2 linked regions of the Oreochromis niloticus genome follow. The protein of the gene in region 2 purifies or fractionates together with the protein of the main gene of each other region. This does not show direct contact. Links are inferred from orthologs where the notes say so. Each region holds a gene or a part of one and is shown on either strand. Other genes may lie near its edges.

Evidence for each region.
Region 1: the proteins of fbxl5 (region 2) and aco1 purify together in Homo sapiens (affinity purification with western blotting; 3 studies listed by BioGRID, with this or other methods). This does not show direct contact. The link is inferred for Oreochromis niloticus from reciprocal best matches to the Homo sapiens genes FBXL5 and ACO1.

Annotation. Positions count from the first base shown.
Region 1 is NC_031967.2:277,702-284,854, forward strand, and holds the start of aco1 (cytoplasmic aconitate hydratase), read right to left. Parts: upstream 3,010-7,153; 5' UTR 2,863-3,009; intron 1,787-2,862; 5' UTR 1,781-1,786; coding exon 1,672-1,780; intron 1,583-1,671; coding exon 1,414-1,582; intron 962-1,413; coding exon 824-961; intron 740-823; coding exon 670-739; intron 596-669; coding exon 412-595; intron 1-411. UniProt on the Homo sapiens protein: Bifunctional iron sensor that switches between 2 activities depending on iron availability. Iron deprivation, promotes its mRNA binding activity through which it regulates the expression of genes involved in iron uptake, sequestration and utilization.
Region 2 is NC_031986.2:36,966,207-36,974,007, forward strand, and holds the start of fbxl5 (F-box/LRR-repeat protein 5), read right to left. Parts: upstream 3,008-7,801; 5' UTR 2,927-3,007; coding exon 2,843-2,926; intron 2,162-2,842; coding exon 1,946-2,161; intron 869-1,945; coding exon 773-868; intron 556-772; coding exon 360-555; intron 1-359. Other genes in the region: serine/threonine-protein kinase Nek1, read left to right, coding at 4,592-4,708, 4,796-4,892, 5,008-5,105, 5,209-5,292, 5,390-5,457, 5,933-6,019, 6,491-6,545, 6,836-7,036 and 2 more.

The sequences.
Region 1 (7,153 bases), on a different chromosome or scaffold from region 2:
TTGATTTCTGTTGTAGACAGAATGACACGGCTGTGTTCAGCTGTTACATCTGCCAAAGTTTACAATACACTTTGATCTATAAACAGACTCCATGATTTCTGTGCTATGCTTTGATTTCAAAGTGCAATGAGACACTAAACTGCATCATTTTCAATAAAAAAAAACTGGAAAATTGGTTTATTCTAAAACTTCTGACTGGTAGTGTGTATTTTATAAGGTGAAGATCCTACACAGAGCAAAAGAAATCACAAACAATAAACATGGCAAAAAGAAACTATGAGCGAATATAATCACTCTCATTCATGGTGGGACGTCCCCCAGCAGCAGCCTACAGCATAACTGACAATAAATAAAAGAGCACGAGACAAAGGTTCATCATTAATAACGGCTCCTACACATTACACGTCTTACCCCAGCCCAGGACACCCAGACCATCGATCATGGTGGTGTGAGAGTCAGTGCCCACCAGACTGTCCGGATAGAAGAGCCCATCCTGGTTAAACACCACGCGGGCCAAGTACTCCAGGTTGACCTGGTGAACGATTCCTGAACCAGGAGGAATAATCCGCATGTTTCTGAAGGCTTTCGAGCCCCACTGCAAAGATCAGAGATCACATTTATGGACTGAAGCATCAGACTTAAACAGACATAAGAGGTTCAGTTTCACACCTTTAGAAACTGAAATCTTTCTTTGTTGCGGTCAAACTCCAGATCCTGATTTTTCTGAAGGCTGTCAGACCTGCGTGAGGAAAAACAGGTGAAATCAAGCAGTGAATAAAACATCTATGAACTGACACACAGTGGAAGAAAGCAAAGATCTTACTTCCTGTTAAAGTCCACTTGGATGGAATGATCAATGACGAGGTCAGCGGGACAAACTGGATTAATCTTTTCTGGGTCGCCACCTAGTTTCATCACTGCATCACGCATGGCAGCAAAGTCGACCACCGCAGGAACGCCGCTGCAGGACGCAGCACAGGCTGATCAGGGACAGTGCAGCTCAGAAAGTAATATTACCTTTTTAAATGTGCACTAAATATGACTAATAATAGACTCCAAAGCCATTTGTTTGGGCTCTATGTTAAAGTAGAAACCTGCTGCTTACACAGTGGATAACTTTTTTTAAAATACAGCTTGCTTTTAGCAGATGCTGCTGCAAACTGCACTTAAATCCAGATCTAGTTATTTCACTCAAAGGTTCTTTTCGGACCTGAGATGATGTCTGCTGAAACAGTGATTTAAGAACACCTGCACACACCTTGTGATATAACTTTCTTGTTACAGACCAAGGCGAGGTTATTTTGATGACATCACTGAGACACCAATGTGCAGTACACGTAATTAAATGAGTAAAAGGCTTCTTTCTCTGCTAAAACAAATCACTGACATTTAAATTCTGAGGAAAAGACATACGTGAAGTCCTGGAGGATGACCCGAGCTGGCCTGAACGGCACCTCCACAGTTTGGAACTGCGTCTGCTTCCAGTTCAGGATGCTTTCCACATCCGAACGCTTCACTAGAAACTCATCACAGTTCCTGACAGCAGATTCCAGGAGGACCCGGATGGAGAACGGCAGACGGTCTAAGGAGCGCATGTGCAAGTGAATACTCCTTGGTTGTATGCACCAACGAGATGCTTCACATTAGCATTAGGTGTAGATGTGCTCCTACCATATCTGGGATCTCCAAGCTTGGATAGATTGAAAAACTGCTGCTTTGGCTCTTTGGGGTCCAGAGGCTCAACTATGTGCTGAAAAGGATTTTTCACAGCTGCCGACATCTTTTCCTAAAAGAAGATCAAAAGCCTGACTCACATGATGCAGGATAAAGAAGCGTGGATAACAATAGTCCCTTTACCATCTGTTTTTCAAGTACCTTTCAAATATGTCAACAACATACAAACCAAACAAAGACTCACAGGAAGGTAGAGCCTCGGGCCTATTACTAGTCTCATAACGGGAGGTGGATTTGCTTGGATTTCAGGACAGGGTTAGTGGAGGGTCGTTGACCTCGTGCTATGAACATTGCATAACTCCATTTCTTTAACTAAAATGTGACAGTAACTGTGCATCAGTCACTTGCAGCTCAAACACACATTAAGTGAAATTCAGGTTGTGGGGCATGACAGACCTTAGAAAGAGGCGTTATCTGTGTGAAAGGTGAAATGTCTGCGCACCTTGCATGACCACATACTTGGCTGGTTAGCTGCAGTTCAGGCTAAACCTCTGCTGTCAAGTGCAAAGTCAAACTGCCACGACAGTGACAAAGACATGCACCGTTGCTTTTCTTCTAATGATTTAGTGTAACAATCTAGACGTCACACTCCTGCCAATACGTGACGCTGACTTTTAGCTCACATTTGTAGCCTCGGTTTATGCCAGCTGACATTTTTACCAGAATGGTCCCAGTTTCAACCAGAATGTTTACACTTGAAGCCTGATGATAGTACAGCTTTGTCTCCACATCAGTCACGTTTATATATCATCAGTAAAAACGTGGAAGTGTGAAGAAAACCTGACCTGCTAACTATCACGGCTAACTGGACCCGTTTAGGAATTAATGTAGTTGATGCTACGTGTTAGCATAGCTTATGGGTCAAAGTTCAGCATGTATGAAGACAGGTATCAGACTTTTATTCAAAGATAAACATTTAAATTGAATACTAAAACCAAGGAAAGAAACAATAAGCATATTATTAGCTAATAATTCAGATATAATATCTTATTAGCGTGAGTTGGTATAAAGCATAATGTGAATAAATTAGCTTTCATAGCGACATAACGAGAATTTCAGTTCAGATTTTCTTCTGGAAAATCGTCAATAAGCCAAGAAACTAAATGTGGTCGGATAGTTATCGCTTACTTTAGATGCAGTGTTGAAGTATCACCGGATCACAGCAGAGTTTGGTCACAACCAGCTAGTCGCCACAAAACCTGCTGCTGGTTCCGCCCAGGTTCCGCCTCCACTGGCGACACTTCCGGTTAGTTTTTTATTCAGAATAAAAGCTGAACCGACGCCGGGCTTTGCAGCTTCATATCCACGTATATCTGACAACTATGGAAAGGAACTGGAACGGGAAATGGATTATTTATTTATTTATTTTCGGTGGGAGAAAACAAAACAATTGTTTGGCTTTTATTTATATTTTATCTATATTAAGAGGGAGAGAAATGCTGAGTGTGACAGAAAGACCACCAGAACCACAGTCAAGCATGGACTGTTATGCTTTGGAGCTACTGAGGGTACAGGATGACTTCACCACATTGAGGGGCCAGACGGGTCTTTCACCATAAAATCTTGGATGTGAACCTTCCTTCAGCCAGAACACTAAAGATGGGCTTCCAGCATACCACTGAGTGAAAACATACTGCCAAGGCAACAAAGCAGTGACTAAAGAAGGAGAACATTAAGGGCATGGAGTGGACTAGCCAGTCTCTAAACTTCAGTCCCATAGAAAATCAGTGGAAGCTTGAAAAAACAAACTAGGTGATTAAGAGAATATCACGTAGTCTGGGCATTTAGTTAGTATTAGGCAAGACATTAACTAATGCTATTAAAAACTATCATGAGCAAACCAACATGAACCAAAAATGGGGAACAGCAAACCTAACACAATAATTTATTTCTTATATTGTACACATTCATAAAGAGAATAATGACCAGCATGTTTCACTGCAACCAGGGAACATAAGATAAGATGAGATAAGAACACCTTTATTAGTTCCACAGGTGGGAAATTTGTTTCGTTACAGCAAAAGTGCAAAGTTATGCAGCAGTAATTAGAAAACACTGGAATGCAATAGAATAAAGTAGAATACAAATGCTATATACAACTGAGTAAGAAAATACAAAAGTACAACTTTGTCAGAAAGAGAATTGCACATATAGCATCTTATTGCACATGTGTGTGTTTGATCAGCTGCAAAAGTCTTTGTTGTGGAGTCTGACAGCAGTGGGGAGGAAAGACCTGCGAAATCTCTCCGTCCCACACCGTGGGTGCTGCAGCCACTGAAGGAGCTGCTCAGCTGTCACAGTCTCCTGCATGGGGTGGGAGATGTTGTCCAACAGGGATGACAGCTTAGCCGCCATTCTCCTGTCACTCACCACCTCCACTGGGTCCAGAGGGCATCCCAGAACAGAGCTGGCCCTTCTGATCAGCCTGTTCATATACAGGAAGGCAGCAATCCGACTATCGCCTTAAAATTGTATAAATGAGAGTTCCTCCGACTGGCCAAAGCAGCCGTCCTACCTGAGAGTATAACTCACAGTGGTGAGTGTGAGATTTACAGTTAGTGATGAACCTCAGGGAAGCACAATACACAGTATCAACTGTTCAAAGACGTTGAGCAGAAGCATTCATATATAGAATATCTCCATAATCCAGCACAGGTAACAATGTTGCAGCAACTAGCTGCAAACCCAATGCTACAATATAGCATAGTGCAGACTGTATACTAAAAGATTAGCTGCTTTTATCAAAATGACCAGTAGATGGTGCTGCTGCTATGTTCTTACATGTATTGTGTCATTGCTTTACATCTTGATGACATAGTAAATACAGCACGTATTTGACAAGGGTCAGATAACAGTCGGTGTGTGGCTCGTGTTAAGCTAACACATCTTTATGGTTAGTAGTTGCAGAACTACTTACTTACGCTGGTTGTGTTTTACACAGTAGCATACTGCAAGTACAGCATTGCTTGCTTCCAAGACTGGCTCTGTGTGGACATGCTGGTTGAGATATAATATGAAATGGACTGGTGCTTGTATACAATCCAAGGAGCTTGAAAAGAAAGCGTCTGGACTTCTTTAAGTTTTCTTGAAGACGTTTCCTGTCATCTGAGAAGCTTCTTCAGTTCTAAGTGTAATTGTTGGAGAGTCCCAGATTTTAAGCTCTATGGGAGAGTCCTATGGGACTGCTTATACACGAGCAACTACAATGCTCAATACAGCATGGATGTAGCTCCTGGAACACTGTAGAAGGAAACAGTCATCCCCAGTCAACACTTTCCTGATGAGTATTTTACCAAGATGACAACAGGGCAAACATTCATCTCAAGGTTTCAAAATGAGACTTTACAAACCACATTTGACCTTTTACTTTTCCATCCATCTTCCATTTATCTGGAGCTGGGTCTGAGGGGCAGAAACCTAAGCAGAGTAACACAGACCTGCCACACCACAGCCAGCTCTTCCAGTTTATCTGGGCAGACACTGTGTTGTTTCCAGTCGAGAGATCTAATCTCTCTAGCATGTCCTGGTCTTACCCCGGACCAGGACCCAGCAGGACACGCCCTGAACACCTCGCTCATGAGGCGCCTAGGAAGCATCCTAGACCTGGCTCCTTTCAGTGTGGAGGAGTAGCGGCTTGTATCCACAATCTCATTTTTTCCAAAGCTATCCAAAGCTTGTGGCCACAGCTGAGGGTACGACTGTAGTAAACTGACAGCTTTGTCTTTACATTCAGCTCCATCTTCACAATGACTGACATCTACCCATCTGTCAATCTCCTGCTCACGTCTTCCCTCCCTTTAGTACAAGACCCCGAGATCTAAAAACGCCCCCACTTAGAGCAGTGACTCGTTCCTCACTGGGACATGGCTGAGGATCGTGGCCTGAGATTTGTGGGGCCTCATACCTGCTGTTTCAGCTACTGTGCTGTGGCTTCAATACTGATGAAGAAATCATACAGATTTCTTTATTCAGTACATCAGGATCAGCGCATCCACGTAACTGTCAACTGCTAAGCTAGCACACGCACATACAGCCGGCGTACCTGTGTACTTCCGCTGGTTTCAAAATAAGAGTTCGAACATTACATACTCCAGTGTGACCTGGAGGTCACCTGATGATGGCACAGACCCACCAAAGCAAGACTCAGCTCACCTCATTCCAGGCGCTTGTCTGCTGGAGACCATGAGCCTTGTTAGTCACACATTAGCACCGTGGTAGGAAACAGCCTCCATCATTTCATTAGATCTGAATTTGGACTGTTTCCCTCTGGATGAGAACCAAGTCTGTCAAATCTATTGATCCAACACAAACTATCAAACACATTGGCTCACAGTCAGATTGGCTTTGTATGGATGGTGTAACAGGGGCTGGGAAAGGATGCTGAAAGCTGAATATAATACAGAACAATAACAGGACATATAATCATGTAGAAACATGAAACATAAAACATAAATAGAAGAAACTGGCAGCTTTTTCTGTTCTGTGCTTCTTTATATTTGACACACATGCTTCTCTTTGTGCAAACACACATCGCACTATAAGGGTAACCTAGCACACAATGATTGGACAGCACAGTGATGATGCTGGGAGATCCTATACGAAGCAACACAGAAACACTGAGAACTTTAAACATTGATTATATTGAGATAAGCAGCCGACCCAGTCTAGATAAAGGCGAGCAGCTGGGACCGCTGCTGCACCAAAAACAGGTTTCAGTGTTTCCATGTGTGTGTGTGTGATGTCTTTACTTATACTGGTCAATAGACTTTAGTCAACACATGATTGAAAGGTGTTACACATGAAATAAAAACAGTGTTTCATCTTTATTCCTCTGAAGCAGCTGCATTATAACCAATCTGCTCCTTTGTGGCCTTTAAAACAGCTTAAATAACTGTTGTTATATTTGTTTCTGCTCCTCTTGGACAGACGACTCTTGAAAAGACATTTTTGAATTTCAATGTGACTTTAACTGGATAAATATGGGATATATAAACGTCCCTCTGCAACAAACTGATTCCAGCTTCTACCTCATGATAGGAATGTTTTTGTGGCTCAAGATGACCTGATATCTTTCATGATGGAGACATTTGACACGTTTCACATATTATAGACCAACAAGTTATTCATAGCAGTTTAAATACGGGGAGTCACTTTTGGGCCCAGCAGATAAAACAGAGCCAATATTTCCTTCTTTATTTAAGTGACGTGTGTCACAGATGTGACCTAGTAAAGTGTAGCTGAACATTAGTAACGTTATTAACACTCTCAGCTGGTCCTTGTTCCAGACCTGAAGATCCTCTTCTTTCATTCAGCAGCAGCTTCAGGTCTCTGATGGTCCAGGGCTTGTTGTTGGGAAACAGCCCTGCTGGGATGATGGTGTCCTCACAGAAACAGTCAGTGATGCTGTTGATCTCCATCA
Region 2 (7,801 bases):
TAGAAATGTCAACCACTTTCTAAGACAGAGTGTTCTTTCATGAAGCTGGTGACTTTAACAGTTAAAACATTGTCCCGGTAGTACAGAGGTCCGTTATCAAGGAGACATTTTTGACATTTTGCAGCAAGATACATGCAGGTATAAACAAGTTAGTCAAGCCTAAATTGATCAAATCATAAGAAATGCCTTAATGGACAGTCAAAATGTCTGCTGGACATGAGTTATCACATTGCATTAGATCTAAAAGACAACTGATTGATATGCTTATCTAAACGTGTGGTATATTGAACAGTGGGGTTACTTGACCAGTTATAATGTGCTTAAGTACGAAGCACCAGCTTAAATACATACTCACTCACCATAATCTGTCTTCTCGTGATCAGCGTATTTGAAGGCTTTCTGCAGCTCCTCCGCCTGGCTCCACAAACTGAAGCCCTTTAGCACCTCTGCGGCACTGTCCAATTGCTGTTGGTTGCAGTGCTGCGCTATCACTTGTTTCTTGATGTCCTTGAGCTCCTCATAGCTGAAGTACTGCATAAGCATAGGCTGAAACACCTGCAACGAATCTCCTCAGTTTACAAACAGCTTGCAACAGTTTAATTAACTGGGACACAAACAGACATGTTTTTATGATAACTTCCAGTGTATTTTTTTACCTTTTGTTGTTCAACATAAATTGGTTTTAATTGATGTCCCACACAATGGGTAATTAAAATATGTTTATATTAAAAAAAAAAAAAAAGAAAGGAAAAGAAATTTGAGCATCTTATACCTCCTCTTCCTCCTTCATGTGGGGCAGAAAGTCCTGTGTGAAAGCTTCTAGTCTCTCCTTCAGCTGCTGGGCATAGTTAAGCTGCTCATATTCACTCTAAAAACACACAACAATGATTAATTCATGGTCTGTGTCCAAATCACCCTTACTCAATCACTACTCCCTACATTGAGAAGTACATTTTGATTTTGCATCATCATTAATGGCTGTATTTTGCAATAATTGTTGTACATTAAAGTATTATTTTCTATTCAAAAATATTTTAATATCATTACTACAGGAGTTGATTTACTCAGGGTAATTTCTCAGGGTAAATATCATGAACTGTTTTTTAACACAAATGACAGGAATTCAATATAATCTAAATATTTAGGACACTATTGTTTTTCCCAGGAGACAGTTTTCCTTGGGACAGAAAGCAGGATTTCTCCTGAGAGCAAAAATAGAAAATGTTTTCTGATTTCCAAACTGGCAGCGGAAGTTCGGGTTTACACAATTGCATAATTCTAAAAAGGCCTTTATTTTTGTCTTTTATTTCTTGGGGTGGAGGTTTGCCCATGGCTTGACAGAACAATAACTCTTGTCTCTCGATAAGCAGATCACAAAAATAACCCTCCCTCTGTTCCAAGTAGTTCAACTTACTAACTTCATGCTTAATAACTTCATTCATCCTTTTTCTTCTTTTAAATATGAAACTGTAACACTAGAGAACTGTCACAAAAGTGGATATAACAAATAAATAACAGTATTATTCCACACTTAAAGGAAGTGTAGTATAATTAACATGCAGATTTCTCATGGCACAATGGGCCTTTAGGGACTGACTGCCCAAGTGTGTAAGTTAGCTAAAACTAATTCTCATTTATTATAACACTGGTAATTTTGCTTTGCATGTGAGTAAAACCGCTTTGAAGATGTGCCGGAAATTACATGTGTACATGAAAAATAACAACCCTTGATGTCTTTGTATGTACTATAATCTTTGCGTTGCTGACATGATACTTATTCTAATGACTGAGTGGTACCCAACAATTGAGCACTGTACTATATGTTTTTCCCCTTACCTAAAGCCAATGTTTTTCTGGTTAGCTATTTTTAAAGTTGCATCAAGTGAAATATAGGATCATAACATGACAATAAAATGTGTATTTTAAAATGCTAGTCGATCGTTACCTTAATACTATGAAGCCCTTTCTCAAAGAGGGACAACATCTCTGAAAGTTTGTTGTCAGAGTGTACATTGTACACCGTGCAGCAGCGCTGCTGCAGCAGCCCGATAATGTACTCGTTCTCAATTTGCTCATGCATCTTGAACTCCTTAAATGTGGCGCACAGGGACTGAAGAAATGAGCGGAAATCATTGTTGTTGGAGAAGTTGGTGTTGGACAGCTGTGGAAGAAGAATTATCAAATAAGATCTTTGCGTTATTTCTTACAAAATAAATCACCACATAAGATCCATGTGATCTATTTTAGCGTTTCAGTTGGTAGGATTAGACACAGTAACTGATACGTATATGTAAACATAGTGGCTGTATGCCAGAGAGTGTCAAATCATCAGTGTTGTAGCCGAGCTAGGGTTAGTGAAGCACACCCTTCGTGCATTAGCTGTTGCAGCTAAATGAGCTTACCCTAGCTTGTCTTGTTAAGACACTTCTTATTAATATATGCACCACCCTTTGTGAAAACATTAGAAACTCCAATGTGGCACTTAAAGCACGTTATATAAGCTATCTTGCAAGTTAGTTAGGCTAGTAAACAGAAAAGGCTTTTAGCTGCGGAGAGGAGTGGCTATAAAAACTTTATTAGGTTCAGTCGGTTAGGGTTTCACACTGCTGGAAACGTGAATACTACCACGTAACGCTGACCACAGATCAACCAAAGGGTCTCAGTGTAGTCGTCAGACAGTCATCCGACAGTTCATCTCCTTCGACTGACTCAATTCTTGCTGCTATTAAGCAAGCTAGCTAGCTAGCATGCTAGCAGGCGTTCGCTTCACCTTCGGACACAAACCGCCAAAAAATTGTTCGTAAATCTGCAAAATTAAGGAACGACAGTTATTTGTACACACCTTTTCGCAGTACAGGCCCACCAGCTGCTTCATTCGCCAGTGCGGGCCAGTAAAAACATCCACCTCGTCCGGAAAAGGAGCCATCTTCACTGGACCTCACTGCGTCATCTGCTCACAGCCTTCGATACAATCAAACAAGGAGGCGTGAGCTAGCCGCCCGCGTCACCGCGGCTTGTAAATCCAGTAAATGTGTTTAGGAATTTAGTCTAAATTTAAAAAAAATTAAATTAAATTAAATTAAACAGAATTTTACACTGGGATATATATTTTATGTTGTTAAATCGTTTGCGATATTACATAATTTGTTTGAAAGACGAATACCTTTGTGAATTTCATTTTGCTACGCATAAACAGCCAAATTCCTAAAAATATAAATACAGTATGCCATACTTATTTAAATATACAGTATGGTTTATATATGACTTTCAGGTTTTTGTCAGGTTTTTATGCGGCAGAGCCCACATAAAGTACAGAAGACCTAAATCACCAAAAATAAGACTGAAATAAATTAATCAGTAAATAAAGAATGTTACTAAATGCTATGAAAATAAGATTAAATTGGGGAAATTATTTCATTAAATGTCTGACCCACCATCCAAAGAGAAAGACTACTGCAATTGCTGCAGGAGCACTAAACTACTGTTTACCAAATAATTAAATTAAGTTCACACTGCAATAACTTATCCACCATGGTGGGTGTTTATGTTTTTCATTACCCAACTGTAATAATTAATTTAAGATAAGTCAATACCAATGGAAACAATAAACCTCGAAGCCTATCCATACTGAACACTTTTAACAGTAAATAAAAAAATGGAGAATTTTATAAATATTTTATAAATAAATAAATAGACAATTAGATAATAAATACAGAGGCAGCTTTTATATAATAAATATGATTTATAATTTATAATTTGAATCAATACTGTGGTCTTTCAGTTTGACAGTTACGGTACTCCATACAGGTATTACGAGGATAGTGTGTTACTAAGTTGAGCGAAGCTCTGTGGTTTAGATACATAATACGAAAATACTAGATGAAGTAACTAAAAAATAAATACATTTTAACTAAATTAATCGCCAAACGTTACACGTTCTCCATGCTTCTCAGTTGGTTTGCGGTTGCTATGGAAAATGTCCACAGCAACGGTGTCATTGGGGGCGGAAACTGGTAAGCGTCATCCACAATAACAGATGATGGACAGTCGTGTACACCAATTAATGTTCGGTCTTGGTACATCTGACCAATGAAAACGTACAAAAAAAATGTAGCCGTAGTTAGATAGAGAGTGCGAGGACAGTATCAAGTACCCGAACCTCTATGAGAAAGGCAGCGAGAAAAGACTAATGGTAAGGCACACACAAACGTATACGGCTACACAGTGAGCCGGTGATATTATATCAGCCAGAGTTTTGTGCATTCACAGGGTAAATATTTTATGACGCTTCCATCTTCTTCTAGCTTCTAAGTAACGGAAACGCTAGCTGTTTTGCTACCAGCTGTGTTGTGTCTTGCATCTCAGCATCACAGTCCGTCTCATTTTCTGTCTGACAGCGGTCCACAATGGAGCTAACATTACATTTCCAGGATGACGCACAATTGGCATTATTGAGACTACCAAATGTTTGCCTTTTATAAAACTGCTGTCACGGAACCCTCGATTAAAGCCTAATTACACCGAGCAATAGCATTAGCATGTTCTTGATGTCTTTGCAGATCCAGCATGTGGAGCCAGTCATTCCAATAACATGGACAAGTACGAAAAGGTGAAGAAAATTGGGGAAGGTTCATTTGGAAAGGCTATCCTGGTCAAATCCAAAGATGATGGACACCAATATGTCATCAAGGAGATTGGCATATCTGGAGTAAGCTTCTGTGCATATATTACACAAGCTTCGCATGTTGTTTTCAGCGTGCGCTTCATCTCGTTACCCTCTTCATTACTTTGACAGATGTCCAGCAAAGAGAGGCAGGAATCTCGGAAGGAAGTTGCTGTTCTTGCCAACATGAGTCATCCAAACATCGTCCAGTATAAGGAATCTTTTGAAGGTATTAATGCCATTCAAATAGCTCATCTGTTTATGTGAAGAAAATATTATCAAATGTGCACTGTGTGATAACTACATACTATAAGTTTTTTATTTTATTTGTACTTTAATCCCAGAGGGTGGCTGTCTGTATATTGTGATGGACTACTGCGAGGGTGGAGACCTATTCAAAAAGATCAACTCTCAGAAAGGGGTACTGTTCTCAGAAGAGCAAGTAAGCCAGCAACTACTCGAGGCAGTCACTGTGCAAACAGTATACACATATTGGGTTAAACTGATCACGATAAGTATGGTTTACTGTAGTCTCCCTTTTTGAGATCCTAGATTGGCTTGTGCAGATCTGCCTAGCGCTCAAGCATGTACACGATCGAAAAATTCTCCACAGAGACATAAAATCACAGGTATTGTTTCATAAATCACAAGACCTCCCTTTAAGTGATAAGTTGTTTGTTTGCATGTATTGGTTTATTTACATGTGTTCTCATAATGCTTGTGTAGAACATCTTTTTGACAAAAGATGGAACAGTTCAGCTTGGAGACTTTGGAATTGCAAGGGTGCTGAACAGGTATGCACACTGTTGTCTGAGTAGCCCTGCAGTTTTTCATTAAGCATAGATTTCAGACTAAAAGTTGAAGAACACTTTGCATTTCTGGTAATAAGACATTCTGTTTTACTACATTTAAAAAATATTATAGTTTATTTTGTTGAATTTGTGTTATCTGTACACTGCCCTTATTTTAGCCAATTTGTTAACTTGTTGTGTTTAAATTATTGTTTTGTTTTTAACTGTTGTTACACAAAAATATCTTTTGGTTAAAACAAATATGTCTGATCTTATAATGTATTACATGTTTTATGTATTTATAAATTTTATTCTGAGGGTCTTAAGTGCATTTATTATTGATGTTGATTTTTCTCCTTTTTTACAGCTGTTTTTGCTTTGATTTTTATGTTGTTGTTTATATTTTTGCACATTAGAAAGTGCCTATTTGAAATATTGAAGCTTTAATATTAAAATGTGCTATTTTTCTGTTTTTCAGCACTGTAGAACTGGCGAGAACTTGCATAGGAACACCATATTACCTGTCACCAGAGATCTGTGAAAATAAACCATACAATAACAAAAGGTACTTGGACTTCTGGAATATCGTACATTGGTGTCTAGTTGTCAAGCAAATTCAATAGTAATCAATGGGACAAGGTGTCTCCCCACTGAATCTTGAGTCTGCAGGATTAGGCGGTGGCTACAGTGTAATGTAAGGATATCACTTCTCCTTTTTACTGAGTAAACTTGCACGCTTACATCTACAGCAGGAAGCTGGTATTGATTTTTCTCCTTAGCTATTTTAAGTGTACATGCAATTTAACCTACTTTAGTTACAATCAGTGAAGTAAATTTAGCACAGTCTAAATGATCTGGAGTTTTCTTGTCAATAAAGTCTTGTTTTCATCTCAGTTTATAAAAGGAAAATAAAGGGCATGCACTTGACTGTTGATACCTTATTGAATGAATGATAAACTTAACCCAGAACTTATCCCTGCCTACCCATTTGTATGTTCTCGCCTCTCATTTTCCTTGCTTTTCCTTCCTGCTGCAGTGATATTTGGGCCCTAGGGTGTGTTCTGTATGAAATGTGCACTCTTAAGCATGCAGTAAGTATTCTGTGTGAGCTGTTTAATAATTATTGTACAGTATTGTAAGGTGTTTTATGCAGCATTTACTGCTCTCTCACATACTAATTTTGATCTCTTCCTTGTATATTCTATATGTATAACTGTAGTTAGATAATACACTGAAATTAATTTCCAGTATATTAATTCCTAATTAAATATCTAATCCAGTACAGTCCCCACATTAAGAATCCCTATATAGTTCAATTGTCTGCAGTAATTTCTATGCAGTGGTTACAGCTGTGTGTGCCTTTGCATTTGTTTATTCTCAGTTTGAGGCTGGCAACATGAAGAACTTGGTTCTTAAGATAATCCGCGGGTCATACCCTCCTGTGTCATGTCATTACTCCCAAGAACTGCGATCTCTCCTTGCACAGCTGTTTAAACGCAACCCCAGAGAGCGACCTTCAGTCAACAGCATACTGGACAAACCTTTCCTCTCCTGCAGGATTGAGAAGTTTCTCACACCACAGGTAGACTCTGCAGCTGATTGTTAATTGTTTGGGGGGTTTTCTTTGCAAAAAGTAGATTGCTCATTAAATTTCTTACTCATTTCAGATCATTGCTCAGGAATTTCGCCATACTTTTCTTCACAAGCAGCCTAAATTGGGTGTGGCACAGATGCCATCAGGTGAGCAAACTCATGATGAAGAAGACTACAAGGGGTCTGCCTTCTACAGCTGGTTTGTAGATTCAAGATTTAGTCAGCCACGAAGTCAGACACATATCAGTGGCATTATGGGGGACTATTACACCTTAAATCAAAACTGATAAATGAAAGATGCTGGACTTTTGCATCTGTCGTGCAATAATCTGCTCATTTCTTTTTGATTTTTATTATGTTGTGAAAATACACTGTTTATTTTGTGTGTGTGTGTGTAGGTGCGCACATTGGATGACTAAAATACAAATTTTGTTTGTTTTTGAGTTTTTCTTCTAAATTACTTCTGGATATCTCATAATACCAGCCTCAGCCCAGAAGATTACAAAACCAGCCGCCAAATACGGAGTGCCTTTAACTGTGAGGAAGGTCCCAGATGGAGCCAGAAAGCCTGCAGACAAGAAACCAGCTGGAAAACACAAACCGGTTAGTAGACTGTTATTGGTGATGACAAACTGGTAAGACCGATCTTTAGTCATGAAGTTTGTTTTGTTTGTTGGGGGGGCGGGTTTGCCTTCTTATGTCAGAAGCTGTATTTGTTGTCAATGCTTCTCCCATTTGTGTGTGTGTGTGTGAG